Linked DNA regions of Neodiprion lecontei. The protein of the gene in region 4 binds, or shares a complex with, the protein of the main gene of each other region. Links are inferred from orthologs where the notes say so. Each region holds a gene or a part of one and is shown on either strand. Other genes may lie near its edges. The genes, in order: histone acetyltransferase Tip60, dynein axonemal assembly factor 10, bromodomain-containing protein 8 and ruvB-like 2.

Region 1 (7,506 bases), on a different chromosome or scaffold from region 4:
GGCGTTGTTATAAAAGTTAACGAATTCACGATATTGATTTTCATGTTCCTGTGTGGCAGGTCTCATCATTCAAAGACTTTTCGACGACACAATGACACGCACATGAAAGCCAACACAAATTAAAGTAAATTATTATATGACAAAAGTTTATTGTATATGAAGCTACTGTGATGTTACTGTTGAATATAATAAATATATATACAATATATATATATTGTAAATATATTATATATATTATATATATACGTATATATATATATATGTATGTATGATGTATTTATCTTATGGATTATTTATTCCGTACCCTGCGGTTGAGAAAAAGTAAGAAAAGACAACTCTTTGATTAACCATCCAGATTGATAAAATATGAATTAGTACAGAACAGAGGCTTATTTTCTTACAGAGGAATGAGACCCATCTCAGCATTCTTATAAAATCTCATTTATTTACAATTTTACACTCTCAAAGTGTATCGCTGTACAAGTTGTATAGAGTAATGTAATTATCGCTATAATAGTCATTTCGTTCATTGATAATGCGCCTTAAAATTTTTTTATACATGTGTTTGTATATATATATATATATATATATATATATATATATATATATATATATAATATACTTTTATATATATATGTGTACTTATCCAATATTAAATAATTTCTGTGTCCAGTTTCATGAATATTTGCCATTTAGATAGATAATTATACTTATAGCTATATGTATAAAGATATTCGACAAAATTTGCGCAACTGCTTCGTTGATATTACAATTAATATACATGTTTGTACATCGTCACCCTTAATTTTCCATTTCCCTTACACCGGTACAGACTAAATCAGTCGATAAATCTTACGATTCGCCGTTCATGATTGAATACTTAATCTAAAAAAAAAAAAACATCTTTCACATTTGCTGAAATACAAGACGAAAGATTTTGACAATGTTCGTAGATTAAATCTATGAAAAAAGGGATTTTTTCTCGTTCCTCCTTTTTCTGTCAACAATTGATGTCCACCACATAAGTAACTAGTCGAATTAAATCGAAATGAGCTTGATTTATTGTAAATCATAATTTTTTTTCTCATAGCGTCTCTTTTTTTTGCTTTTTCGCTCTCTCTCTCTCTCTCTCTTTCTCTCTCTCTCTCTCTCTTCCTTTCTCCTATAAGCGTGAAATTTAATACAGACAAAAATACGCAATGATAAGACAATTTACAGATAATCGATAACAACTTTGATATAGCCCGCCATGGCACTATACTACAATCGGTAAACACTTTGTAGGGGTTCAATTAAACGTTGTAATAAACTAAAGATAGTAATTATGGTTCATACTTAATTTGTAGACATCTTACCACTGTTATTATTATAATTTTTGTTTTTTTACCCCATGCTACACTGATTTCTGGTGCCTGACGTACTTGTATGAGAAAATTAATATCAATGCATGGGGTAGTGCACTTGGACCTATTGAATGAATGAAATGTCCAGACCAAAGATCCTTTGCACCTTTCGACCACAACGTTTAAAAATAGTCTTAGGTGTAATTAAAAATAAGCGTATAGACAATGCTGGTATTAACGGATTTAAACAGTGGGCAACTAGCCGGGCAATGCATTTGAAAGGAAAAAGAAACGCAAACGGAATAAATTGAGTGACGAGAGCAATTTCCATATCGTATAAAAGGAAAATAGTATTTGTAAAACTTTGAATTCCCTTGTCGAGACTAAAATTCGCATTTTTTGAGCATACTTCTCTTGTTTCATTCTTACTATACGGTTACTGACGGCATTAATCTAGTCAAGTTCACCACATTGCTTGTTCTTCAATGCCGCAGACGAAGATTTATTATTTTATGCCCAAGTTGTACGCAGTTTAAGTTTGGTCACGAGCTGTTCAACGCTACCGTGCATACAGACGATCAGACATACAAATAGATGATCTTTCTACGATTTTGTATATTAATATAATAACTGTGCAATCGTGAGTGGTACCATAAAATACAAGATCCGAACAAATAACAAGCGCACCACACCGACGTCGAACTGCTCTGGCCGTTGTCTTATAATTATTATTATTGTTATTATTAATTATCGTTATTCCTATATTATTAAATATTATTAAATACAATAAAATAATATAGAAGAAAGAGCGTTGGCAAACCAATTATACTTAAAACACATATGGAATGAATAATTAACAAGATCTCTATCTGTACAAGTATAAGAATTTACATCTAACAATATTATATACATACATATGGTGTATATGTATCATGCAATATTTTTGAAACTAGACACAGCAGGTTTAAAACGAGAAAAAAAGCCCCACAAATTCGAGAGTTATGTACAATTTTGCACGCTTGCGTGACGTAGATAATCAGTTCCAGGATTCCTGAAACGAATTTTAAATCACATTAGCGTATTTGTATTGCAAGATATTAGTTTTGTTCACCATTTCGCTCTGACGCTCCAGTCTTTTGGTGTCCAATGAAGACATTTTGGGTCTATTCCTATCTGACGCTTCTCCATTGCGGCGGCGTGTTGCTGTATTATATCTCTGTGAAAATATACAATCATAACTCAATGATTTTTCCACTAATTTTCGTTCAACGTTAGATGTCAAGTATATTCATAGAAGTTTAGATCACGATGAAGATGATGAAATCGATCATTTGTTGTCTCCTTACCTATTAAGCGTAACGATGTATTGTCCTTTGTAGTAATTAATGAGGTTTAAATTTTGCAGCGTTGATATGACATCTTCTTTTTTTATCGACGTCAGTTCACATATTTCGTTTATCGTTATCTGTGGTTTTTCATTCTCGACTAAGGGTTTGACGTTTAGTAAAATGTCTAGTATCGTGTGGGCCCAGTAACTTCTATACGACAATAACCCCAAGTCGGACAGTGGCTTTTCCGGAGATCCAGTTTTACCCTCAAATTTCGATAATTCATAAGAAAATTCAATTAACAGTTTTCCATAACCCTTTCTCTGGTAAGGAGGCATTGTCAAAATACAAGCGACATTGTAATCCTCGGTCGATTCTTTCTCCTTCGAAAAATATCCCACAATATGAAAACCTCGGCTATCGAATTGTGTCATAACATAGAACAAGAAGGGATCCGTGTCGTAATATAAAGTTTTATGATCTAAGAATAACTTTGCTAATAAACAAAGATTTTGAGCATAATTCTTGTTTTTCCTTCCATCTATTTCAAAGAACGATATCGAGCCTTTTCTGTATATTTCGTTTCCAGGCGGATGCCTTAAATTACATTTTGCCAAGTGTCTTTCTAGACATTTTCGACTCTTTCGATACTTGAGGCAGAATTCACATATGTAAATACATTGGAGGCTGACCATTTCTTGAGGGTACGGGCTGAAATACCATGGTTTTATCCTATGCCTTCCCAATTCAATTAATTCTATATTTTTCATCCTAGTTACAACATCATCGTGGTGATGCGCTACCAGTGAACCGGTAGACCTTGGGCCGGTAGCCGCAGGTACAGGTTGCGGTGGTGCTTCTTGAGAATCCTCGTTCTCTAAGAATGTAGCTTTTCTTTTTCTAGAAATTTTTTTCTGTAACGCTGCCTGCAGTACTGCCGAACCGTTGACCGGCTCAGGTATCACATTGTTTGGACTCGGCGGCCTGCTAGGAATCTGTTTTTTTGGTGTCGCTGCCCCCGTTCCAGGCGCTGTACCATCTCGCCTTGGAAATTGAACTTTCCGCGTATCTAAACAATTTTCCATCACCCACTCGTCCAATCGTTTGTTAACTGAAATAATTTAATTTCCTGTTGTTCGGAGTGGCATATCGAAGGGAAACAATGTGCACTATTCAAATATATCAAGTTTGCAGTGACAGTTCAAGTTTTCATGGCTAATGACAGTAAACTTTTAACAGAAAAGCTAATCAACTGGCTATTCCATGATAATACAAAGATACGTTTTATGGAATATTCATGTTTGCAAAGTTTCCTGTCATCTAATTGCAGTAATTGAATACTTACAATCCACATAGTGGACATAGTAGCATTTGACACCTCGCATCTCTTTGACGCTGATGATTTCAGCGAGCGCTGTAAAAGAAAACGTTGTGTGAGAAACGAAGAGGGCAGCGGAACGAGTTCCAAATATTTTAAATAATTTTGCAGGGCTACAAGTAACTTACGCCAGTCGTCGCCGTCTTGCATCCTGACCGGCAAACGACAACCCTCGACAAGTGATGACTGAAATTGAGGTTAGAATTAGTAAAATTCACAATTACATCCAACGTTTGCTCCGGGGTCAAATATTCATATCCTTCGCAGTTGTAATACAGCTCTACTTACCACTGAATCACATATCGTCTCCCGCTCATCGTGTTCCTCGATCATTTTGATCAGAATTTGACCAAAACTTGTCACTAAACACAATGTTGTTTTCATACACTTCGGGGAGCAGACACTAGCGCTATTCTTGGCTCAGAACAGAACCCTTTCACTAAACGCAAGCGTTGCCGGTAATATATATATTGTAAAGAGACAAGGTTTGCGGTTCGTCTCGTACTTTCCATTAATTTTGCGTTAATGCGAAATATTTAATTAATTCCGAAATGCGTTACAGATTATGTAGTACAGAAAATACAGAATACATATTTACGCCTGACGCTGCGGAGAGTAGCAATTTTGTACGACGCGGGCCGCATTCTGCGCATTCGCCGCGCGCAGCCCGAAACTTCGTTCCGTAAGTGAGCGGCGTCATTCGCTTTCGAGCAGCAGGAGCAGAGCCACGTGCGTTGATCGTCTAGAATTCGTACCGCAATATTTGGTCTGCATAAGGTGATTTGAGTTCTTTCTAAAATTTTGAAGTTTTCTAGATAGTTCGTTGACACATTCAGATTGTTCTCGGGCAAACGTTTGACTGTTCACCGCGTTTTGTGACGAGAGAATGTCCCGTTAATTCTCTGTTGCGATTTTCTCTCTCAATTTCTGATCAAACGGACCTTTGTAAAATGCAATTTTAGCACGTTTATTATGACTTGGTTTATTTTGCCGTAAAAAACAGTCTATCGGAACGTACGCTGAATGAAAGAGTTTCGTTATTAACATGTAGTTGTACTCGCGTCCCTATAATGCGTAGCGCGGTGACTCGCGCAGTTCACCGTTCGCGAATCAACAGACCTTCGTTTGTTTATCAACACCGAGGCATTTCTGAGAATTTTGATTCGTACTTCCATGCAACAAGGGTTGACGCGTTACAGCGTTACTATTTATTTCGTGACTTTAATTGTCGTGACCTTGTCGGTAGCTTATAAGGTGACATGTTAAAATTACACTCAACATCTTATACTTTATAAAATAATCGCTAATGAAAAAAATGAATGAAGACGAATCGCTGATTGTTGTTTATATTTTATATTGTCTTTTTGAGTAAGTCTGGTAAATTTTGAATGCTGCTTAGATCGATTTTAAAGTTATATTATGAACAAAATATTGCGTCAACCTACCTGATTAGAGAAACAGATTGCAACAAAGTTGATTAATGTTAGCAATTAGCTGGATTGTAAAATCCTGTTAATAAATCTTGGAAGATGTAATGCGGTAGCTGAACAGATGAATTTATTGCATAAAGGTAGCAGGCATAAAACAATGAAAATTATTTCTCACTTTATTATTTAGGCAATCGATAAAATTTTCCAAGGCTTAGCGTAATATGTAACATACTACAATTCCGTTTGTTTAACACTGGTCGTGAGTATATGGATTTTGAATATGAAATATTTAAATCATATGGGTGGTCTTTGATCTGATTACAGAAATAAGCTGCAGCGAGATCGATTGAGGTTCTAGCTAAAGTTTGAATCGTTTGACCTTAGCAATGAATGTGGGAAACAAAATACAATAACCGAACAGGTCGTAACGTTATGGAAGATCGCAAAGCAGGTACACGTTTTATTTCATCCTTGATTATCCTTTTACACTATTTTCACTCTGGAAAATTGATCTTTTATTCGCAATTTATTGCTGTTTAGTTTTTTGATTATATTTTATAAAAACTATGGTGCATTTCCAATGCTACGTGTATTGATTTAAACGATAAAATAATAATGAAATGTTATATCTTACCCCATTACAGGAACAAACTACACTGCAGCACCATTAACCGCATTTAGCAATGAAGTAAATAAAGTAACCCGATTAATCGATCTCTGAGAACAAAGTGAAAACTAAACCATCCACTACAGTGAAGAAAATTGGAAGGTACGTAATTGATATGATTATTGTTTATAATGTCGCTTTTGATTGTAAATGATTTTAGCTGCTCGTTGATTTTGTGCATTTACTCACTACTTGTGCTCATTTCATTAGCTTTCTTTTATTCATTCCTACATGTCATTTATTAATAGCAGCAGCCACCACTGAGATAATATGGAAAAAAAAACCGTCACGCGAAATCTAGTCCAAGTATATTGTGTGAGTAATCTTCTGTTATTTTCTTATTGCAGTGTAAATACGGCGTTACCTCACCACTCAACCTGAGATGCTACAAGAACTACTGCATGTAAAGTGTGGAGCAACCTGGAGAAGGTAAGAATACCTATCTTAATTATTGTTTGATAATTCAAGGTGGCACATTGAGAGACGAATTTTTGTCTTTGTGTAACATTCAGTGAATAAATATGGACGTAGATAACAGTAATAATTAATTTGAGTACTGAAAATCCAGTTTGCCAAACTAATTCGAGTTAATTTTTTTATTTTTCCAGAGTGAAGCAGAGACATCCGAGTAACTTCTCCATTACTCGGCAACCCCGGTGAGTTAGCATGCGTTTAGGTTACGGGTGTTTTCCTTGGTCCCCTTTGTAACGTAGCATGGCGATTTAAACGGTTTAAGTGGGTTTATCTGAGGTTCTAATATATTCCAACTATTGTTTAATCATATTCACATGATTATTGAATCAATGCAATTTCAACGTTCGATATAGTGTAACGTAATCAAATTCCATAGGAATTTCTGATCCATCTTACAAATAGTTCATATACCGATAGTCCACCAGCAACCATTAAAGTAATACAAACTATAGGGATAGGGTTGGCGGGAATGTAAGCTTGCCACTAATTTGATTGAAACCTGCGTCTAAAATACGTTATTGTCATTTTTTGAACGTAACTCTTTTAAGTACAATAGCATTGCAGCTAGAAGACAGGGGTCAAAAACATTTTACTTCCTAGAGGTAATCAACGAAAAAAGTAGGTCACAGTGAACACAGCGCAAATGAGAAAGAATGATGTGTGTTGCAAAGAATGGAGAATCGCGTAGATCGAATATGGGTAATCGGGTAGGTAGGTGATCGTCTCGGGATCCGTCACGATATTTATGTACGTATCTGTGTCTTTCTTTTTAACATTTTTTTTTTGGGTGGTTCCTTCTGTCATTATCAATTATTATTCAACTCAATTGATCTCTGTGATCGTCTGAATGGGCAAAACTCGAAGGTTCGCGTCAAAGAGGACCGCC
Region 2 (5,841 bases), on a different chromosome or scaffold from region 4:
TCTACCACCACCGGCTGCATCGGTCGGCTAGCCGTCAGGATCGGGAGGAGAGGCGGTTTCACGGAACAAGGGGAGAGGTAGAAAAGAGACGAGAGAAAAGTGGGGAATGAAAGAGAGAAAAAGAGACAGACACAAAGCCGGATAGGAACCTTGGGAGATTCGAAATATTTCCAAAATTCGCCGGAGGGAAAAAGTGGAATGGAAAAAAAAAAACCGTACGAAACGATGATTCCTTTCCATTATCATGGGGAAAAAAGTAAACCACAATTTCCAACACACGTAGAGACACGCACATACGCATGTAAATCGATCTTCTTTGCCTGGGAACCAACCAATGAAGAGATTATGAACAAAAAATGAAAAGATTAAAAAAGTTGAGGCAACTATCACCAGCGAGCTGAAAACCTGCGCGGCAAACAAACGAAAAAAGTAACAGCCAAGAAAGCAAAACTCGTAGTGTACAGAACGTGTATGTGATCTGCCTGCTCGACTGAGGATCGAAAACGAGTATCTTGATCTCTAAATGATACCTGCGTGGCATAATACATGGAGGAAAGGATAGAGCCTGCAATGAGGGGGAGATACAGGAATGAATCACACGATGGCGCATACTTTCGATAATGCCTTTATAATGATGGGTTGTGGAAATATCCCCCCCCCCCCCCCCCCTCCCTCTGCCCCTTTAGCTCCGCTACTCTAAGAATATATCCTGACATTATTATCTTCCACCTGCGGTGAAAAGAATTTTTGACTATTCTCCGCTGTTTGGGATTTCTTGAATAGAATTAAGTAATCATTTATCGGCCCGTAAAAGCTGCAAAAGCGAGATAAATAATTCTGGGAAACTGTTGCAATAAAAGATACAATGCACGTTTTTATAAAAACACAATAAAAACAATGGAAAAATTCATGTCTTACAACTATTATGGAAAAATGTGTTGTTTTTACTCACTCTTGGCGTCGTTGGGGTTTTCGCACCGTAGAGCTCCAAAATATCTTCGTCATCACTGGGACCAAGTTAAGGAATCTGCTTGTTATTTTGAAAAGTATTTGTACCAGGTCTGGCAGTTTGGCGAATTGAGTTTCCAAGGTTTACGTGCAAGAATTTCAACTCAATTTGTTTGCAAAGGATACTTGTACTGTTTCATTGAGTGAGAGTTATACACGGCGAGTTTCGACAGTTTGGCATCAGCCTTTGAATTACCAGCGGAGCCCATGTCTTTCTTCAACTCGTTTCTTTCCATCCGCAGTAAATACTCCACAGTTGGGTTGTCGCCTCGGCACTGTGACACGCTGAATGCCATCCATGTTTCGACCAGCGCTTCTTCGTTTAAATTGTACAAATCGCAGAGATCGAGACCTGCGGAGGATCAACCATGTATTAGAAAATAGACTGTTAGCTATCAAAATGTAGGTAATCGTGCATGTGATCAGTTTTCCCAAATCAATTTTTCGGATTTCGGTAGAAGGGCCAAAGAAAACAGTCTACTAAAACGGTACGGTTTCTTTTCCAACCCCCAAAATTAGCGAGACGCGTTTCGACAGATATCGAAATTCCTCCTGCAGGATTTTAACTTCTACGTGCGAATGACGAACGCGAATGCTGAGATTTCGATACTCACATTTATTGAGAGTCGCCTCGTCGTTAACGACGACTCCGAAGACAGCGAAATGCTCCTTCAAAGCATCCTTCAACACCATCTTGTTGTCTGAACTCTGACCGACTGCTCTCTGTTTTCCCGCCAAATATATTTACGTACCTCGAGGTCTCTGGAATAACGAACATAACCTCACTCAATATCACGCTCTCACTCCATCGGTGTCTCTGTTTTTCCCTCCTCTACATCATGACTTGAGAAGGACAAGCTAACCATGCAAGTGCACGAGGCTAATTATTCAATCGTAAAAAACACCAATCACACTGCTATTTGAGCGATAAAAAATCTGCCGAAAAATCAACGCGCATTGTATCAACAAGAAGAGAAACAAGTGATTGTCGGCGACGCGAAACGACCGTTGTAAGTATTCAAACTTTCCTGATTCAAACTCCTTATTCTTCTTATCCTTACGCTCTGATTGGCTACTAGTCACATCCGGTGCTTCTCCACTACGCCGTTGATTGAAAAATATAAAGACGCGTATCGCTGAGCAAATTTTCCTGACCTGGGAGCAGAGAAGTATTATGCATGCGAATACGCTCATCTCCGAAATGGTCTATTAGGATTTGGCATTCCGATAGTACAGTAATGTTTATTAATGCTTTGGAAATCCGGCTAACTTGTTTTCGGTCCGAAACAAAATGCGAGTTTGTTTCTATAAGTATTATATGACAATGACTGACAGTGCTGGAGGTACCAGAGAGATTGGGAGTCATTGTCACATAATTCATATAGAAAAGAACTCGGATTTATATTTCGAATCCCAAATAAGTTAGCCAGAAGCCCAAAACTTTCATGAACATTATTGTACAACAGAAATGTGACTTTGACCATCGGTAGATTACTGCGAAGTGCTTACCACTTGATGAAAATCGCAGAAGCGATAAATAAGGCATACAGCTAATAGGAGGCGTTGGTATTTGTTTATCGCGTGTTGGCAGTCATTTAAAAGGCTGTCTCCTCGTGTCGATATCGGCTGGTAGAATTTCGCGGCTGAAAGTGCAACCAAGTCCGTATCGAATGATTTAAAAATGGATAAACTATCCAAGCCGCAGATAATATGTCACATCGAAAAGTCAGTGAACTATTCTTTGTTCGACGCTAAGTGGATACCAAGCAGCGCAAAGTTCGTCGTAATGGGTTCGAGGCCGCGAGGATCTGGCGTTTTTCAAATATACGAAATATCCAGCGGGGAGCTTAAGCTGATCAAAGAGATCGAGCGCTCTAATCCGATGAAGTGCGGCACCTTCGGAGCGTCAAGTTTGAGAGAGAGATACTTGGCCGCCGGAGACTTTAAGGTAAGAATCTGAGCCGCTGTTACCAGCTCTTTACTCGCTGTCGATTAACAATTGATCATTTTCAGGGTAAACTGAATATCTACAACCTGGAGGATCCTGCGATTCCTATTTATTCGGCAAATGCTCACAAGGAGATCATAAACTCCATTGACGGCATCGGCGGGCAGACGATAGGTTGCGGGGCTCCTGAAATCGTCACCGGCTCCAGAGATGGCAGCGTCAAAGTCTGGGATCCGCGGCAAAAGGGGCGGCCAGTTGCAGTAATGGAACCAAATGAGGGCGAAGACCGTAGGGACTGCTGGGTTGTCACTTTTGGCAACTCGTACAACTCTGAAGAAAGGGTCGTCGCGGCTGGCTATGACAATGGCGACGTTAAGATGTTTGACCTAAAGGCGATGGCTCTCAGATGGGAGAGCAACTTGAAGAACGGAGTTTGTGGATTGGAGTTTGACAGAAAAGATATCGCGATGAACAAACTGGTCGCCACCACTCTTGAATCCAAGTTCTACCTGTTTGACCTGAAAACTCAACATCCCAAAAAAGGATTCTCTTATCTTTCAGAAAAAGTAATTTGCAGTTCAGTTGTTTTGCTTGTAATTTTGTCAAAATAACCAGAAAGTAATTATTACCCTTTTATAGAGCATTGCAACAAGCCATAATCCGACTTGATTTCAGGCGCATAAATCAACTATATGGCTGGTACGTCATCTGCCCCAGAACCGAGAGATATTCATGACGTCGGGAGGTGGAGGATCGCTATGCCTTTGGAAATAGTAGATAAATTTCATTCACTCAAGTTCATAATTTCCTAACAAATTTTTAGTCGAATGTTATACTCACAATGTAAAATTTCTGTTCTTGTGTGCCGCAGCCAATATCCTGAAAAGCGAGTGACAGCAGACGCCGATGGCATAGAGCAGGGAGTAGTCGGTTCAGTATCTCTGCTCCAGAACAGCACGCTCTCTTCTCAACCAGTCAGTTCGTTGGATTGGAGTCCAGACAAGCAAGGACTTGCCGTCTGCACTGCGTTTGATCAATGCCTTCGTATCATAATCACCACGAAACTGAACACGTACTGAAAAAAAAGAAAAGTATCATTTTCTGCAAGATTTTTTTCAAATCTGTCCGGCTCGTTACTCTTTGCCGGCTTTTCGTACATTCCATGGTATATGCAGGATTATTAGCAGTATCATCTAATGGTGGGCAGAAAACCGTTCACGAGAATAAAATGGAAGACGTAAAATTGTATCAAGTTGGATGCAAAAACTTTGAGACTCAGTTCTGCGATTGAATCTAGAAGGAGAAAATAATTATGGAACCCAATAACGTATTTGAGAGCTCTCAGCACAGTACATTGTAAATAGTTTCATTTCTTCGCTATATATATGTACCGAATATCGCTGAATAGAAGAGCTTCGGTAATATACGCGGAAAAATAAAATAAAAGACTCTAAGACTTCCATCGATCACAAAGCGAGTTGTAGTATTTTTGTTTTGTAGATACAATTCAACGAGATGGGAGAAGAAAAGAAAAAAAGGTGTCAATTATTCTTATCGTATAATTGAACACGATGACGTGGTTTTTTTTTTTATCGATTTTTATAATTTCGATGTAAATAATTTACCATCAAAATGTTCGGGCATTATTTGATTCCATAATGCGTAGCGAATTACCGGTAACAGGGATACAGAGAGTGAGTTACGAGAGTATAGATATAGTGAAATTGTCTATAGACGAGCTAGGTAGGTAGGTAGATGGGTACAGGAATAAGCTACGGGAGTTTCTGCGCTGTTCTATCGATTTTCAAAGCCTGCGCAATTATGCAACAACATTAGAAACCAGAGACAGAACTGGGCACGAAGCGGGAGTGAGATGAAGAAAGAACGAGGTGGGGGACATGACCGACTACGAAAACACGTATGTAACGAGTCTAGGTGAAGGAGAGAAGAACAGAGTACAGAGTTTCGAGGAGGAGGAGAAGAAGAAGCAGGAGAGGAAGGGGTTGCGCCGAGATAAGGGGAATAATATGTTATTGGGGCAGTCTATTTGTAAGCAACCGCTTATTAACGCCGCTACCGGAGTCGGGCGGCCATTCGGCGTCGTTACGCAACGGCCATTTTGGTTCCGCTGCGACCGCGTCGTGTGATGGCATCCGAGTCCCGTAGCATCTCGATCGCTCGCCTAGCTTTGCTCTTTGCTCGCGCACCGCACACGGGCAGCGTGAAATCGAGGGTATTTTACCGTTGTGTTGAAGCGGGCACAAGGCGTGTGCGTGAAACACGGGATTACGGATATGCGATCGTAGATATTACAGCATTTACGGCGTTCACCAGCGCCGGCCATACTCGATTCTTACTAAGGGACCTGGCGATGATTTCTACAACCACAAATAATTTTATGGAAATTCGAACGTTTCCTATTTTTTTAAATTGCATTGGCTTGCAGAGAATGAAAATCTACAAGTTTTTGTGAGAAACTATTCATATTTTCAATTTAGAAATTACTTTCACCAAAGGGGGGGGGAAGAGGCGGAATCCGTACGCTCGCGGTACCCGATGATTTCATTTAAATAGCTAGCTGAGTGGCTCCGGCTGGCTCTATTCAAGGTCACGGATTCCGCGACTTTAATTACATGAGTTATCCATGCTCCGTGTACCCACCCGTTTAACCCACGCAGGGTGCAGCCAGCTTTGCTGCGGCCAATTATCGGAGTGAAATGGACTATTAATCACGTTGAAACCTTGCCCACGTTACACTATAAAGTCAAAATTTGTCCGAGAGAAAGAGACAGATAAACGACTCGTGCAATATTTTATCCGAAAGACGTCTCAAATGACGATTATTAAGTTCGAAGACTTATTTTAGGGCAATAAATACCATCTCA
Region 3 (9,104 bases), on a different chromosome or scaffold from region 4:
TTTTCAATTTTATCCTCTCTCCTTTCTTTCCAATATAGTCCAAAAATTATGGCAATAATCAGAGCGCAAGTTGCAGTCAATGCAGCAACGCTCAATAGGATCAGTTTACTGGGTGTTACAAATAACTGAACTTTCCATCTAGAAGGTTCAGAGATTGGTGTCGGAATCACGACCATCTGGGAATTGGGAATAATTTGTGTCCATTCTCGGGACTTGTTGCTCAACCCTATTGTGAGGGTATCAATAAAATTTGGAGTGCGACCCAACCCAAACGTTGAGTATGGCAAATTGAGGGAGAAGTGTGCGCTCTGCGGTAATTGTGCCGCTACTGCCATGCGCATACTTCCATCCTGTGTCGTCGTTTTGTAAGCGATCGATGGGCCTGGTAGATTTGTGCCATAGGTCCGTTTCTTCTTGCCAAGTGTTCCAGGCGTGATGGGATACAGGCTGTTCGATAACCCAGTCAAAACCATGACTTTAACAAAATTAGCATCGTAGTCCAAGCTATTTTTGAACGCCAGAGTTCGGTATTCATTTCCCTCTTGCTCTATCAAAATCACGTCCAATATGCCATCTTGATAAAAATCATAGAAGACAGCCATAACTGTTCTGTTGTTCAAGGGATTCAGAGCTGTCCATTGTACAGAAAATTTTCGACTAAACTCTTTACAGTTTGTGCAAGGTACGTTCTCAAGCAAGAATGTTCTGGGCTCAGATTCTGACGCAACTGTCAAAGTTGCCAGTAAATCTGGGTACCCATCCATGTTGAAATCGCCGCCTCTCAGAGTTATTGTATCCGTGTAACGCCGCCCGTTAGGTTTACAGAAACCCCAGTCAATGTTGTCAGGATCTTTGAAATCTACTTGTAAATTGTGCCACCCATTTGAGTGTATCATAATAGTGCTGTTCTTGCATGCGGCATCATAACATGCGGGTAGAATCAGGTCCATTTTGCCAGTGAGCTCGACGTCCAAGAATAAAGATTGACCAACGACGGCGAAATTATGCGGCAAGCTGATGTTTTGATGAAGAGTGAAGTTCTCCTCGCTTCCCAGCCAAATTTCAAATCCATTCTCCGTTGTTATAAATAAATCAGGCATAAAATCGCCATTGTAATCTAGAAACGCGTTGGAATGTGGTTTTCTTATGAGCGCAAAGTTATCCCCATTTTTAGATTGCATTTTTACAACTGCTGGTGAAGTTCTATTCTTATTGAATATCCAAAATGTTCTTGTTTGATTTGCATCAAGTCCAAACAAATCAATAATCATGTCTTGGTTGTAATCGATGGCTAACGGCTGTCCAAACATCACAATTACTGGATTCGACTCAGGTGTACAATTCAACTGCCCGTTTCCGCCCCACAAAATGTGTCCGTAGGTTAGACCGTCCTTTATCGTTGTTACGAAAACATCCATAAATGCGTCACCATCAAAATCCCCAGGCACAATGCTGGTCACTGAATTATTAAAGGTACACTTTAAGCCTACCCCAGGCCTCAGGAGAGGCTCTTGCTCGGCTGCCAGCATAATTTCAACGGATTTACCATCCGTGTCGATCACAAATACATCCGTCAATTCGTCAGAGTTGAAATCGCCAAACGCTGCAGGCATCTTGTCCAAAATTTTTCCATATACCGTTGATGTTATGTCGCTGCATCGTGCGACAATTAAAAAATTCGAGATGAGGTAAACAAATAAAATTGCCTTGCCCATTTCGATAGCTTTACATAGTCTGCAATGAAAAAAAGATACGCAGTAATGAGTCATCTGCTTATTTAATTTCTTTTCAGTTTGTGGTTTCTATGCCCATCTAAGCTATTTACATTTTATTGTAATTCTGTCAATTGTATGTCACAAGTTTTACTTGCAATGCGAAGCATATGTAAGTATCAAGGAGGCAGGTAATGATTTATGTTTACTCAATAAACATAAAACACATTTTTATCAGAGGTTAGAACTTCTCGATATTTTACTTATTCTCACCTAGTGGAGATGTCAAGATGTTGTATTTCTTTATTTCTGAAGATCAAAGACGATTGATTGAATTTTGTTGCAAACAGGAATCTGTCCCTTGTATTTCCTTATTCAAGCATACAATATTCTATTAACGGGTACTGCATAGTTCTTAAATGGACTTTTGTCATACTCAATTGTCAAAATAACACACCCAGGTACATGTAATCGAAACAGCCGTCCGGAAAATGATCTATGCATGTATGTACGTCTTTTTCTATCTCGTTGGTTTTGAAGGACATGTATAGTTTAAAACAGCTTCAGCTTTGCCACTACAGCACAATTTAACTAAATGTAGTGCTTTTTTTATAACGAAAATAGGGGATTGCCTGCAGTGTTCTGAATTCTATCAGTTATCTTGTATCTCTTTTACACTATCAAGTCGACCATTGGCTCTCTCTCTCGCTGTCTTACAAAGTTCTTGCGCATCAGTCTGCGCAACTTCAGCACTGGGCTGTATTCTGTGTGGTTGCATTAGCGTATTGTATTTCCCGGTGGTAAATGAAAACTGAGAAGTGCACGAAACTGAACGAGAATTGCGGTACGTTTTGTATCAAAACATGAATGACCAAGAAACTCAGTGAATTGTTAATGAGACACACATGTAAGAAGAACTAGTAGCAACATGGCATCTGCACAGGACAGTAAGTTATCGCCTAGACTCTGTATATTCACTAATTTTGCCGTTTCGTTTACTCACAGTTTTTAGGTTAGAGTACACAAACGACTTATTATTCAACTGTGTACGGTGATTTCACGGTTTTATTTGTCACAAAACACTGATTAATCCTAGTATTTATTTCTTCGAAATCATTTAGACTAAATTTACAGATGGAGATTTCCACGCGAAACCGATTTTATTTGTGTATTGCAAACATAACCACAATATCATTCGAATTGGATGACAAAGGCGATTGATACTTTACCAAGCTTTTATTTTTAACTGTATTCCAAATTGGACTGATGTTTCGAGAATCTTTATATTTTCCAGGTTCAAGCCGTAGTTATAGACAACCATTTCTCCTTTCAGTTTTTTTACTCACACATATTTTGGAAACAAAATTTTTAAATCTCTAATTTTCACACACCAACAAGTTTTTCTTGTATTTCTAAAGCATTGCCAATCATCACTGAAGAGAATCAATGTATCTATGTAAGAAATTAAACATGATAATCATTGGAGACATGCTTGAAAGTACAATTTACTTTTGGAGATACTTGCCAAGTCTTAGTTAAATGGATTGCTGTTCTTGCATGGAAGTCTCCAGAGATGATTATTCCTCAACTATTAATAAATTATTGCAATCGTAGGGATGAAAGTAAAACGTGTTCCGTACGATACATGGAGCACAAGAGAGCAGCTATGCTTGGCTGCAAGCGTATTGTATTCTGGGGAGAATGTTCAGAATTGGAAAGCCGTGTCCGAATCATTGGAGCCGTTTGCTGAAAAAGAAGCATTGCGACCACCTGATTGGTTTTCTCAAAAGTCTTGTGCCGTTCAATATTCACACTTGTTGGAAACAGCGGATACTCCGAAAAGGAAAAAAAGGGAGAGCGGAGAAACGCAAGCTGAATCCATAGTGAATCGATTAACACAGGAAAGAATTGCGGAACTGAAACAAATTCTTGCGTTTCAAAGAGACGAATATCAGCAGCTCAAAGCGGAAGTAAACCTTTTAAAATGCGGCCCCTTATCCGACGATAAGCTGCAGAAAATGTGGCAAGTCATTGAACAAGAAGAACGGGAACAGGAGCAAAAAGTCAGAGCATACGCCGCATGGCTAACCAAACGACAACAAAAGCAAGAATCTATGATAACACCGCCACCACTTGTCCACCGAAAAGCGGTAGACAGTGTGATGGAAAACCATGATGCTTCTGTATCGGAGTCATCGAATAATGACGAGGATGAAAAGAAACGAGGGGGCAGATCGCCGCTCCTGACGAGCTTATTAAAGTCCACCAGCCCAACGACTCAAGTACAAACACCACCGACGCCAACAAAAGCTAGCTCCCCTACCATAGCCAGTCTCCTAGTTTCGAGTCCAAAGGTCCCGAGTTCCCAGCTAGATCGTGGTCTGGCACAAAATGTTTCTTCCCAATTGCAGCAATTGGTCTCTACCGCAATAGCAAACGCGCCACCCGAAAGACCTTCAGCTGGTGCGCCAACGCTTTCTATGCTTTTGGAATTGCCGGCAAATCCGCAGCGTGGACCGTTACCAAACTTGCAACCGTCCTCTACGGTAACAACGCAGCTTAGTATGCCTCCCGAAATTCATTCTTCTCTACCAACCAACGCACCGTCAACATCCGAAGGTGTTTTGCAAGTAATCAATCCTCCACCGCCGGTATCGGTATCTCAGAACATCCCGGTAACAGAGAGTATGGTACAGATAATAGACCATATAGACGAAGTTATTGGGAAGGATATAATGGCCGACGTTATTGACAAAGATGAAATAAACGAAATCATTGGAGATATTGAGGAGCTGATCAAAGAGGAGATCACTTCAAGCCCAAGAACGAACGAGACTCCATCCGCGGCCACTGTTGTGGAACCATTGACTGTACAAACGGTTCAAGAAACTGTCTCAAAGCGTCCCGAACCTCGCCCGAAACCTCGTCCAGAACCTCGGAACGTCGATGAGCCAGTATCATTGTCGGATTCACCTGAAAGTGAACTAGCAATAGAAGATATCGATTCAAGCACGTCAAATATCGCGGAAATCATTGGAACCGTAGCTGTAGAATCTACGGAGTCGAAAATAATGGTCACTTGCCAATCGCCGAAGGTTGAAGAGAAAGCCAAATCAGAGGCTGGGGATGCGGATGAGGAAAACATGGGTAACGAATCGTTAGCAGAGGAACTTCGGAATTCCCCTTATGAAGGAGACGATACTACCGAAGAAGTGGAGTTGAGTCCCAAAAGCGAAGGAAAAGAGTCTGAAAGCAACGAAAACACGCCGACGGATACAAAAGGGTCGGAAGACCGGAATATGGAGAAGAGTGCCACACCAGAGGTGACGGAAGACGCGATAAAGGAAGAAACTGACCTCATCGAAGCTGAGAAGGATACAACAAGCGACAGTACAAGTGATGAGAAAGAGCCTGTTCAGGAATCGGAGATTAAACAAGAACCGCAAATAGATCAACTGGAAATGGATCTTGCTGAGATAACCGGGGACCCACAAGACAAATCGGCTGAGGCAGCGCCCGCCAGTGTATCGTCCGAGACTTCAAACGATGGAGCTAGTGCAGAGGAAGCGGAGAAATCTCAGGACATAAGTCTGATTTTAGAAGATGACGAAAGTTCGCAAGGGTCGCAAAACAAGGACAAAACACCTCCTCAAGAACAGGTATCAGATATGGTGGACACTTTTGAGTCGTGTCCTGAGGAATCCACCGTTTCAACCGAGGAGGAACCTGATGTGGTGGTAAAAGTCACCGAGAACGTGCCAATCGTCATGGACGAATCAACAACTGAGTCCAAGGACAATGTTTCGGAAGAAATGGAAAAGGAAGAAGACAAGAAGGAGAGCTTTAAAGACTCTATCGACGTGATAGTTCATCAAGTCAACGACAAGGTGGCAGAGGTAGGCGGCGTATCAGGGACTGATCCAAATCCTCCTGTTATACCGGAAGCTGTGGAGGTTGTGAAAGAAGAAGCTCCAGATGTTCTGGAGCCCACGAAGACCGAAGAGTCAACATTAAAAGAGGAGGCAGAGAAAATGGTTATTGAGAAAACTGTGGAAGCAGAAGAACAAAACAAAATTAAAGTCGAAATTGATGCAGAATCTGTTACGGAGAAGAACGACGAGGTGGCAAGAGACAATGAAATGCCAGAGGATAAACCGGTAATAAAAGAAACCTTGGAACCTGAACCAGATGTCAAAAAAGAGCCGGTCACTGGAATCGCAGACGATGGAGACCTTGACGAGGAGGAATCTTCGTTGAGTAAATTGAGTGGTGGTCGCACCATGAAAACCTACTCCAAGAGGCCGGTTGTTACGATAGACAGTGAACCAGAGAATGAAGGAAGTGGGGAAGGTGCCGATTACCGTGCTTGGAAGAAAGCTGTTATGTTGGTATTTAATAGACTGGTCACACACAAATATGCGTCTGTATTTCTGAGGCCCATCACGGAAGATCAAGCGCCGGGTTATCATTCGGTCATTTTCCGTCCCATGGATTTGTCAACCATTAAAAAGAACATTGACAATGGAACCATCAGGTCTACAATGCACTTCCAGCGAGATGTTATGCTGATGTTCCAAAACGCCATTATGTACAACAAACAGGATACATTTGTCTACAAAATGGCTGTTTCCATGCAAGAAGAATGCTTGCAACACATGCAGGTGTGTTTACGAAAATATTGTATTAACCTGTTTTTGGTATTAGTCAAAGCTTAAGGGGATATAGATATATACGAGCAGACAGCTGCAAAAGCAGGTAAATTTTGCGGATTTATATCTCTACAATTCTCTATTCTCAACATTCGAGTTTTGTTTCTTTATTGAATAAAAAAAATGATCAACAATGAATGAAAAATCGAATCTCAACTTCAAATGGTCGCCGTTTTGTCGGAAAGAAAAAATTTCGAAGGGTGTTGCGATGTTGTCAAGTTTGATGTGGAAGGATGCATAACTATGCGAAGTAATTGAGAGTACGAGTTACCTGTCTTATGCTGTTCCAGAAAAGAGAAAATACTTAGAATCAAAAGAAAGTTTCAAAAGAGGATTTGTTCTTTAAAATCAGTACGTGTTGTACAGCATTCCAATCAACGGCGATAAATTCAATTCCAGATGTAAATATTCAGTTTAAAAAAATATCTTGCAAAGTCTTTTCTCGGTCAAAAATAAGAAAATGACTTATCTTTACAACTGACAAATATTGGATAGACTAATGCTTGGCAGTCAGCCATAACACTCAGCACGGTAGTATATCTGGGCATGTATCTCTGACTTGGATTTGGCACGGGAGTAACCCACGCCATGAATCATTTTTATTTGAAGCCTGGAAACTTGAGATCACTGATTTAGTGCTTTATTTTGCCTTTCGACAGATATTAGTACAAGTCACCGGCGAGGGACCGTTTAGAAGAGAAACAAGAACAGCTGCTAGCAGTAGTAGCGATTTTGGCGATTCGTCTGCAAAACCGCAGCGAAAAAGAAGTCACATAACTCCTAGCCCACATGACTCTGACAGTGCACGCACTAAGAAACGAAGAAAATCGGAGAACGATTAATACGTTCAAACAGTCAAGTGTCGATCTGTTGCTTGATAATGTTTCACGTATATCGTGTTCAAATTCCTTTCACCAACTTGTGGACAAAGTTGCTAGCTTGCGGCCGGTTGAAGGTACAAAAACATTATCGGGAAAATTGCACTGTCCACAGTACTGCAAGGTGTTAAAGTGTAGTACGCCTCATGGACAATATGTCACAACTGTATATACCATAATATAGAAGAATTATCTCCACAACTTGTGTTACATTTTTTATTGATTCATAATATTCTGATATCAGCCGTCGAAAAAGGATTTTTCCTCATTAATATGAACCATGGATATTTCAATTATTTCAATACTTGTGAAAATTATGAAAGCGTACTTACATTGATTCGAATTCTGGCCAACGATTTTCGTGATTTTTTCTATTGCATCGAATGCTTCTAAAACGGAACGAGGTAATTGTGAAGTGAAGAAATTCCATCTCTACATATCGAACACCCTTCATAGTTTCGTGACCACAAATGTCACAATTCATGAAGCAGTGAAAAAAAAAAGAATCAACAGAAGTTACTCTTAAATACTGATTTTGGCAGACCATAAGATGACTCTAGGACATGTCAAAATTTACAAGTTTCTCTTACTAATGACTGAAAACCGAAAATAAAGTTTCTACAGTAGTGAACAATTGTTTAATAAATATATTCTGAGATATGGGTGACCATGCTAGAGGAGATTGTAAAAACGCAATCTGCAGCTCCGAAGAAGAAGAACTTCAACAGGGAGTCTACAACAACTTTGTACATGTCGCTCCTATCACGTATGCAATGATGGCGCACTTAAACATCAATGAGAAGAGATTTCCCGTACCAGGAACATCCGGAGAAGCAGTAAGTTTGTTTTCCAAATAATCAAACTCTAGCAATTACAACTTTAGCTTCTTACTTTCAATTCCTCCAAATCGATTTTTCGTACATGAAATTTGTCATTAGCTATAGAAATCTGTAATGATCGTTCATCAGAGTTATTGTCAAAGCCAGCACTGCCAATGCCACCAACAGCCGACGATACTGACCGTCAATTTTGGGCCGAAGACGAATTGAGCGGTTCCGAGTCAAGGCTGCGTTTGGTTTGCAAGCAGAGGAGGAGACGCAGTGTGGCATACAGAAATCGAGTTGCTATTCGTAAAAGGAGCAGATCTCTTCTTCGTCAATCATCCAGCTCCAACTCTGATCCGGGCATTCGTATGAAAATTATGTCACCGATCAGTCACGGTGGTAAATTTCATGCTATTACAGATGTATTGATGAAGCATGCAAACTCCAGGGTATTGATGTCATTCAAAGAATTGTTTCCTAATTCGATACTTGGTGAAAAGAGAAAGGAAATTTGTAGTTCAATTTCTCTTTACACAGTGAAAGTTGAAAACTAACCATGGCCGAAATTCCGTGATGACGTCATATTTTGAAACGACTGTTTGAAACTTCTAGCACATAGAAGACGGAGATGCAATCAAGAGCAAGGTTCACCCTTGACTAAAAAATCCAGAGAACTAAGCAACCGCCCAACCGTTAAGGCTTCCGCGTCAAGACCACCTTTCGATGTAAAAGTCATCGGTTGTAATTTAGCATCTGGATTACACTGTCCAAATTCTAGAAGACAAATAAAAACCCCGGGCACTTCGGTATTGCGAATTAAATCCAGAAGACGCAAAAGTCAAACACAGTCATCTTGTCCTCATGGTAATAACGTGCCTCGAACAACCGAGTTGATAGATAATGATGAATACAAGGAGCAAAAATTTTGCCCACCGTCAAAATCGAAGCGCAAGTAAAATTTTAGAAATCGACAGCGAAAAG
Region 4 (7,216 bases):
TGAAGTTTAAAGATAATTCGAGTATTTATTTCATTATCATTCGAATATCTATTTGTGGAATGTTTTTATAATAAAATCTAGTTTAATTTTGTTAATGATGTTTAATAGACTTAGCTCTATGAGCGTGTGCAGATATCTCCAAACTCGTTGAGATTCCCATCTTATCGCTAGTGAACTTAGTAATATTGTTTTTCAACTGAAAAAGGTATTAAATTTTGCTACGGTTTAGAAACATCAGATAGGAATTGAAGTTTTAAATATATTTACTTATATGTATTATAAACTGGTATTAATATATGCCTATTCGTATAATTATACAATATTAACGTGGTGAAATCAAAACAAAACAAAATTTAAACTCTTATTTGTTTAGTTAATTTTCGAATAATTCCTCTAGATTTCATTATGCTAATTCTGTTGCCCTGCTCTAACATTCAAGCCAGTCTTTATAGCTAAAGTTTAATCAATTTTTAGCTAATTTTTAGTGAACTTGATAGAATGGTATCGTATAACGACGATGAATTCACATTTAATGAGTTATGCGTCATGGTTACCCTTAGAAAAGAATTATGTAACTTAGCCTACTTATTTATATTGCAGAAAATATTTAATAAATCAATTTCGAATCGAGTTTCATGTTAAACGATGTCTGTAATAAATAAAAAATAAAAAAACGATGTGAATCAAACATTATATTTATAAGATCTAATGTTGCTTACATCATTGCAAATAGTAGATTTGAAATAAACAACTAAAACAAAATAATGTACATTTTTTGAAACACACATTTGATGCTCTCAACACAGAGGCATTACTTGAGTTTTTTTAATAATATAGATGCTCCTGGTGTTTTTTTAGATTTTAAAGATTTTTGTAGAGGTTTCAGTTTAGTTAATACAATGTTGGCTGTGGTCTCACCACTATTTTCTATCAATGTTATGAGTAGAAAACAGCCTCTGTTGAATTCAATCCATTGTTTCATTACTTCTGGGTTCAATTTGTCAATCAATACCTCTCCGAAGGTAGACTTCTTGTTTTCAATAAGTATTTTATCATTCTGTATCAATTTTTTCAGCATCATGTGAAGCCCAGAAGATTCAATTACCTTCTGTTCCTTTTCATTTTCCATTATTACTGATTCTGGATCTGTTATATAATCTCTAATAGTTTCATGAGCATTTTTGAGCTTCTCTCCATCCCCTGCTTTCAATATTGCCAACGTAACCATTGATATTGAACTATTTGATAGCCATGTCGATACTTCTGTAGTAACAGTTTCTAACAACTTATCAATTACTGCGTCCAATAGCTCTTTTGCTCGTATTTCTGGTGGCTTTTTACTAGTTTCATTGGCATCACCTTTTTTAAGTTGTTCGATTACTTTCGGGTGAAAATAATGTGAATCCCTTCTAGCAACAAGATATAGAATTACGCATCTGCCATATTCATTTGACGCAATTTCTGTCAGATCATTCAGCAATTCTGTCAATATCATTTTCTTCACGAGAACTGTGTCGTCAATGCAGTCAAACAAAGCTAATAACACCATATGACCATGCTCGTTTGTCGCCACATTCTTGACTTGATCTTTCAATGCCTTCATCGCAAGTTTTCTGTCTTTCTTTGTACCATGCCACAAACAAATCATTGCAGACTTAGCACCATCCTTTGTCTGAGATAATTCTGCAATCAAACTTCGGACCATAGTGATCATTTCATCTCTATCATCTTTGGTGCAATTCCTTAAGAATTCAAGCAACACAGAATGTACAAGGGAGGTGTTAATCAGCTTCTTATTTAGTATTTTTATCAAATTTCCTTTGACAGCTGAGAGAGTTGCAGATTTCATATCTCCTGCAAGCTTATAGACATCAGCAAGTGTTTTGATTTGACTGTCCTTGGCTAGTTTGTACATATCACCATAAAATTCTTGTTTAAAATATAATTTATCTGCATCGGTCGCCCAAGATGAATATGCAAGTTCAAGTACTGGTGCAGATACTGAATGGCTTGCTAGCCTAACTATATTGCCACTACACGCCGCAATTATCATAGCTCGAATTTCATCTGTCCCATGCTTCAACAATGTTTTGACACAATTCTTGGCATACTTCGACTGTAACATTAGAACAATACTTTTCTGTAATTCATCAGTAACATTTTTTCTTATCTCAGAAGTGCAGTACTTGAGAAGCCATTGAACAATCCTTGCCATGTCATGCATGAAGACAAGTTTACTAAATTGTCCCTTGAGTAATTCGTATAGCTGCGTTGTGAGCTCTACACGCTCTTCTTTAGAACAATCTGCTCTGCGTAATTTTTCACCAATCTTCTTAGCTTTGACGGTAACATCATACGCATTCGTCAGTCTTTTTTCCCTTCGTTTTTCCCGCAGTTCTTTCTTCTGTTTTTTAAACTCTAACCAATCTGGTTTCTCAGTTGTGTCTGTGCTACCATTTATAGATTTGTATTGAACCTGAGTTTGTAGTCTTTTCTTCTTATTATTAATCTTGTCAAACAATTTCTGTGACTTGTCTGCCTTGGCAGGTTTCTTTGCAGCAGTTGGTTTTTGGAATTTACCTTTTTTCTCCAAAGCGTCATTTTTTTGTGAGATGTTCACCTTCTTTAGCTTCGCATCTGAACTTTTTATGATATTCACTTTGGCAGTAGGGTCGACAGCCGTTTTAGCTTTTTTAATTATCGGTTTAAGGCTCACTGCTTCCTTTTCCCGGCGTTTCATGATGACGATTTTTACCTGTAACTTGAAAAGAAAAATTGTACGTAAAATTTATCTAGCGTAACGTATTGTTTCTACCTTTCTGATGCTTCTGCAAGTATTTCAAACATTTCGAACAACGTGCGTGCAAAACATAACCTATTAAAGACGACACCGATTTATGAAAATTGAGTTTAAATTTTGGAAATACTTACTTCTCAGACTGAATTTCGAACAGCGTAAGCAAATCAGTAGTAATTATACTAAAGTCAGTGAATTATCGGATATTTATAAATTAATAAACCGCACCATAGAATCACTAAGCTAAGGTGTAAATTATTGCGCCAATGTACGATCACGTGGCGTGCACTTGGCTTTGCTTGGCTTTCTGAATTCTGGTAATAGGATTCACGAGGTAGCAGTTGCGTTGAGCTGCAGACACATTTCACGGTTAGTTACTTTCTGTCGCAGCGTGGCGCTGCGGCAATAAAATGACGCTAAATACTACCGCAAGGTTTCGCTACCCGTAAAAATGTACCCTACAGCGATGCGTGGCGCATGCAGAAAACTGTTTCCTTGGCAACTTTACGATCAGTCAACAGAGTTGTAAATCATGGCGGTAAGTGGAAATGCGTCGTAGATATTATGCATTTAAATTATTATTTTTCGCATAGAATTCGGCGAAAAGATTGATAAATTTGATATTTTCCTACTAGCTTATTGATTGAAGCTTACTCTGTAAATTCGTCTTTTCAAAAAACCTTCTTCTTCAAAACATAACCGTGTCGACATGCGGCGTTTGGCACGCGTGAACGGTAACCTACAAATTTGCGACGATCAACACAGTCTTCCGTCATTTCAATGTGATTCAATGCTAAATTTTATTGCAATCGTTTACTGCGGCATGTTTTAAAAATTGAAGATCACACTAACTATTCATTTGATCACATTTACCACTGACAATCCGTTGGTTGTTATTTTTTTATACTTAGATTAGACAACATTAAAGGTATCCAAGAACCAAATTCAGTAACAAAAAAAACTTTATTCCAGGCCGTCGCTGCAGCAAAGGTGCAAGAAGTTCGTGAGATCACTAGAATCGAGCGCATTGGCGCTCATTCTCACATTCGAGGTTTGGGACTGGATGACAGTTTAGAGCCGCGCAATGTAAGATTCACAATAATATATTATATTTGCAATGTATCCCAGCCTTGTATCAATAACTCGGAATTCAGCAAATATCATGTACAAATTTCGTTACAACAAAGATGAATTACTCGCAGGTTTCTCAAGGTATGGTGGGCCAGCTCATGGCTCGGAGAGCAGCAGGTGTTGTGCTCGAAATGATCAAGGATGGAAAGATCGCAGGACGAGCAATTTTGTTGGCTGGACAACCGGGCACTGGTAAAACTGCAATTGCGATGGGAATGGCCCAAGCTCTTGGTCTAGATACTCCGTTCACGTCAATGGCAGGCTCGGAGATTTATTCCTTAGAAATGGGTAAAACTGAAGCTTTAACTCAGGCGATACGAAAATCAATTGGAGTGAGAATCAAAGAGGAAACGGAAATTATCGAAGGGGAGGTAGTAGAGATTCAAGTTGACAGACCAGCTACCGGTGTTGGCGCTAAAGTAGGAAAGTTGACATTGAAAACAACCGAGATGGAAACCATTTACGATCTGGGCAATAAAATGATTGATAGCCTGATGAAGGAAAAGGTAAGTAAAGTGAAAACAGTTATAAATTATCGACAAAATTTAAATGAAAAATGTTTCCATTAAAGGTACAAGCTGGAGATGTTATAACGATTGATAAAGCCACTGGAAAAATTAACAGACTTGGCCGTTCGTTCACACGAGCTCGGGACTACGATGCGACGGGATCACAAACCCGTTTTGTTCAATGCCCAGAAGGAGAGCTCCAAAAACGAAAGGAAGTGGTACATACGGTTACTTTGCACGAAGTTGACGTTATTAACAGCAGAACTCACGGATTTTTGGCACTGTTTTCCGGAGATACGGGGGAAATAAAGTCTGAAGTACGGGATCAGATAAATGCTAAGGTTGCAGAATGGCGAGAAGAAGGAAAAGCTGAAATCGTACCTGGTGTTCTCTTCATTGATGAAGTACACATGCTGGATATCGAGTGCTTTTCATTCCTCAATAGAGCCCTTGAGAATGAAATGGCACCTGTCGTTATAATGGCCACTAATAGAGGTAGAGTTTTATATTTATTTAAGATTCAGTTTATTCTTACCCAAAGAAAATGTAATCGATAATTCCACTCCACCAGTGATTCCATTAACGGCATTTAATAATCGACAGGAATCACAAGGATTAGAGGTACGACTTACAAAAGCCCTCACGGTATACCGATTGATCTGTTGGATCGAATGATCATCGTGCCCACAAGTCCATATCAAGAAAAAGATCTTAAAGAAATTCTCAAAATTAGATGCGAGGAGGAGGATTGTGAGATGGCGGACGATGCTTTGACAGTATTGACGAGAATAGCCTTAGAGACGTCGCTTAGATACGCTATTCAGTTGATCACCACTGCGTCGCTTGTTAGTCGAAAGCGCAAAAGCACTGAGGTATGCGAATAAAATTATAAGTGTCGTCTTGTCAATTTGTACATACTTGATGTTCGTTGCAGGTCAATATTGATGATGTGAAACGTGTGTATTCCCTATTTCTTGACGAGAATAGATCTTCACAGTTCTTGAAAGAATACCAAGATGAATTCATGTTCAATGAATTGGGTAAGTTTTCTTACCATTAGATGTACCTACTTTTCGAATAATTCATTAATGGATTCAGACACGAAATATTTGATTCTGAGTGTAAACAACTACTTATTGTCCTTAGACACACACACACACACACACACACACACACACACACACACGCGCGCGCGCGCACACACACACACACACACACAAAATACTTATTATCAGATTGAGCTTCCACATACCTATGCTTGCAAACTGAAAGAAAATTGAAATATGAAATGAGAACCAATTTGATCATTTCCGTGTTTATATTGTATGTGCCGTTATGAAATGACTTTTTCTACTTGCGCAGAAGAACAAGCTATGGAAGTTGCGTAATAACTGACTGGATTCATCGAGTTTCTTTCTAAAGTTTGATGGAGTTGACAAAGTCGCACGTTCGGAGTTGAACAAAAAAATATAGATCTACCAACACAGGTATTGTAATTCCAGTACAATTCGCCGTTTCGCCGCGCTGGTTTTGTGTTATTTACCTTTATATGGCGTGCGAAACTTTGCTATCATCACGTACGAGCATACAAGTATATAAATAATTACACGACGGTTTATTATGAAATAATAAAAAATATAAAAAATATAATCTTGCATTTTTAAATAATCGTAGATTATACGTATATATTATTATCATTATTTTAATATAAAGCACTGGTTATAGTGTCTGTACCAACATTGGGCTGTGCAAATATTCGAGATTTTGTTCTACTTTTCTATATTCGTAATCTATTAGGTACGTACATAGTCTTATCAGTTACAAAAATGAAATGGGTTTAGAGTAGCCAATAGATCTTTGAAATGCGCAACAGAATATTATTACCTAATTTGTTCATTGCAAAACTTATGCGGATAAAATTGTTATTGATTTGAAAAAACCAATGTTTGTACAGAAAAATTAGTTTTTGGTGTAAAGCTTCTATTCCTCTATGATTAGACCCAACCTCGAAGTCAATTCAGGCATAATTGCACCAAAAACAAATGAAAAAAAACAATTTTATTATCATATTATTGATCCAACGCTAGTAAAACTTTTCAAGCTTTGGTTTGCAGTACTGAATCGATCGTTTTTCATTTATTCTATTTCCGTTTGGACAATACTTTTTTAGAACTGGGATTACTTAATTTCAAATTAATCTAACGCTTACGCTTATTTTTTTAAATTCCCGTGTCAAAGGTGCGAGAGGTTTCCTCGACTGATTGCGTTAAATCAATGTTTCATCCTATTACCGCAGGCTTGAGCTTGGTAAATGTCAGTTAAATTGCTCCCGTAAACTTCGGTTGTTAGAATACTATTAGTACCCTCGATAAATTCAAAGTTAAATCTTAGATTGCTAAAGTGAAGTAGGATATCCTCCATTCCTCGAGCGTTGTAAACGTGTCTCCGTTTAAAAAGGTGCTTCATGTGTAGGCGCGGAGAATGTTAAAAATTTTAACGACTACTCGATTTTCTTGTCTTGCGTTTTTTTGGCTGAAAAATAAAAAAACAAAAAATATGAACTACTATTAATAAAATATTGACAGCAATATATTCTCGCCAACATCTGCAGTAGCAAAAAATAATATCATGATTAATTAATATCTTGGTCTTATCCTCGATAATTGCAAACATTTCCGCTGGTGTAATCTTGGTCCATGGTACGTTAATACAGAAAAAACGGGCAGAAATTTTGATTATTATATCATTATTTGTTTGTCCAGGTAAGCGCGTATCTATC

The links.
Region 1: ruvB-like 2 (region 4) and histone acetyltransferase Tip60 share a complex: the UniProt entries of both Homo sapiens proteins name them as parts of the SWR1-like complex. The link is inferred for Neodiprion lecontei from reciprocal best matches to the Homo sapiens genes RUVBL2 and KAT5.
Region 2: ruvB-like 2 (region 4) and dynein axonemal assembly factor 10 share a complex: the UniProt entries of both Homo sapiens proteins name them as parts of the PAQosome complex. The link is inferred for Neodiprion lecontei from reciprocal best matches to the Homo sapiens genes RUVBL2 and DNAAF10.
Region 3: ruvB-like 2 (region 4) and bromodomain-containing protein 8 share a complex: the UniProt entries of both Homo sapiens proteins name them as parts of the nuA4-related complex. The link is inferred for Neodiprion lecontei from reciprocal best matches to the Homo sapiens genes RUVBL2 and BRD8.

Annotation. Positions count from the first base shown.
Region 1 is NC_060265.1:23,411,380-23,418,885, forward strand, and holds histone acetyltransferase Tip60, read right to left. Parts: upstream 4,622-7,506; 5' UTR 4,434-4,621; coding exon 4,338-4,433; intron 4,236-4,337; coding exon 4,178-4,235; intron 4,086-4,177; coding exon 4,017-4,085; intron 3,783-4,016; coding exon 2,690-3,782; intron 2,560-2,689; coding exon 2,455-2,559; intron 2,395-2,454; coding exon 2,343-2,394; 3' UTR 1,398-2,342; downstream 1-1,397. UniProt on the Homo sapiens protein: Catalytic subunit of the NuA4 histone acetyltransferase complex, a multiprotein complex involved in transcriptional activation of select genes principally by acetylation of nucleosomal histones H2A and H4.
Region 2 is NC_060266.1:1,917,889-1,923,729, forward strand, and holds dynein axonemal assembly factor 10, read left to right. Parts: upstream 1-2,522; 5' UTR 2,523-2,689; coding exon 2,690-2,956; intron 2,957-3,021; coding exon 3,022-3,522; intron 3,523-3,585; exon of another isoform or gene 3,586-3,631; coding exon 3,632-3,729; intron 3,730-3,796; exon of another isoform or gene 3,797-3,817; coding exon of another isoform or gene 3,818-3,827; coding exon 3,828-4,035; 3' UTR 4,036-4,423; downstream 4,424-5,841. Other genes in the region: DNA polymerase alpha subunit B, read right to left, coding at 953-1,007, 1,135-1,360, 1,623-1,701. UniProt on the Homo sapiens protein: Key assembly factor specifically required for the stability of axonemal dynein heavy chains in cytoplasm.
Region 3 is NC_060266.1:5,247,836-5,256,939, reverse strand, and holds bromodomain-containing protein 8, read left to right. Parts: upstream 1-2,455; 5' UTR 2,456-2,640; coding exon 2,641-2,659; intron 2,660-3,326; coding exon 3,327-6,373; intron 6,374-7,080; coding exon 7,081-7,263; 3' UTR 7,264-7,500; downstream 7,501-9,104. Other genes in the region: T-cell immunomodulatory protein, read right to left, coding at 1-1,734, 2,170-2,216; uncharacterized protein LOC124295608, read left to right, coding at 7,959-8,135, 8,282-8,522, 8,736-9,079. UniProt on the Homo sapiens protein: May act as a coactivator during transcriptional activation by hormone-activated nuclear receptors (NR). Isoform 2 stimulates transcriptional activation by AR/DHTR, ESR1/NR3A1, RXRA/NR2B1 and THRB/ERBA2.
Region 4 is NC_060263.1:34,673,869-34,681,084, forward strand, and holds ruvB-like 2, read left to right. Parts: upstream 1-3,197; 5' UTR 3,198-3,329; coding exon 3,330-3,335; intron 3,336-3,769; coding exon 3,770-3,883; intron 3,884-3,999; coding exon 4,000-4,434; intron 4,435-4,499; coding exon 4,500-4,932; intron 4,933-4,972; exon of another isoform or gene 4,973-5,040; coding exon 5,041-5,309; intron 5,310-5,371; coding exon 5,372-5,477; intron 5,478-5,799; coding exon 5,800-5,825; 3' UTR 5,826-6,087; downstream 6,088-7,216. Other genes in the region: protein penguin, read right to left, coding at 812-2,740; uncharacterized protein LOC107218712, read right to left, coding at 6,938-6,969. UniProt on the Homo sapiens protein: Possesses single-stranded DNA-stimulated ATPase and ATP-dependent DNA helicase (5' to 3') activity; hexamerization is thought to be critical for ATP hydrolysis and adjacent subunits in the ring-like structure contribute to the ATPase activity.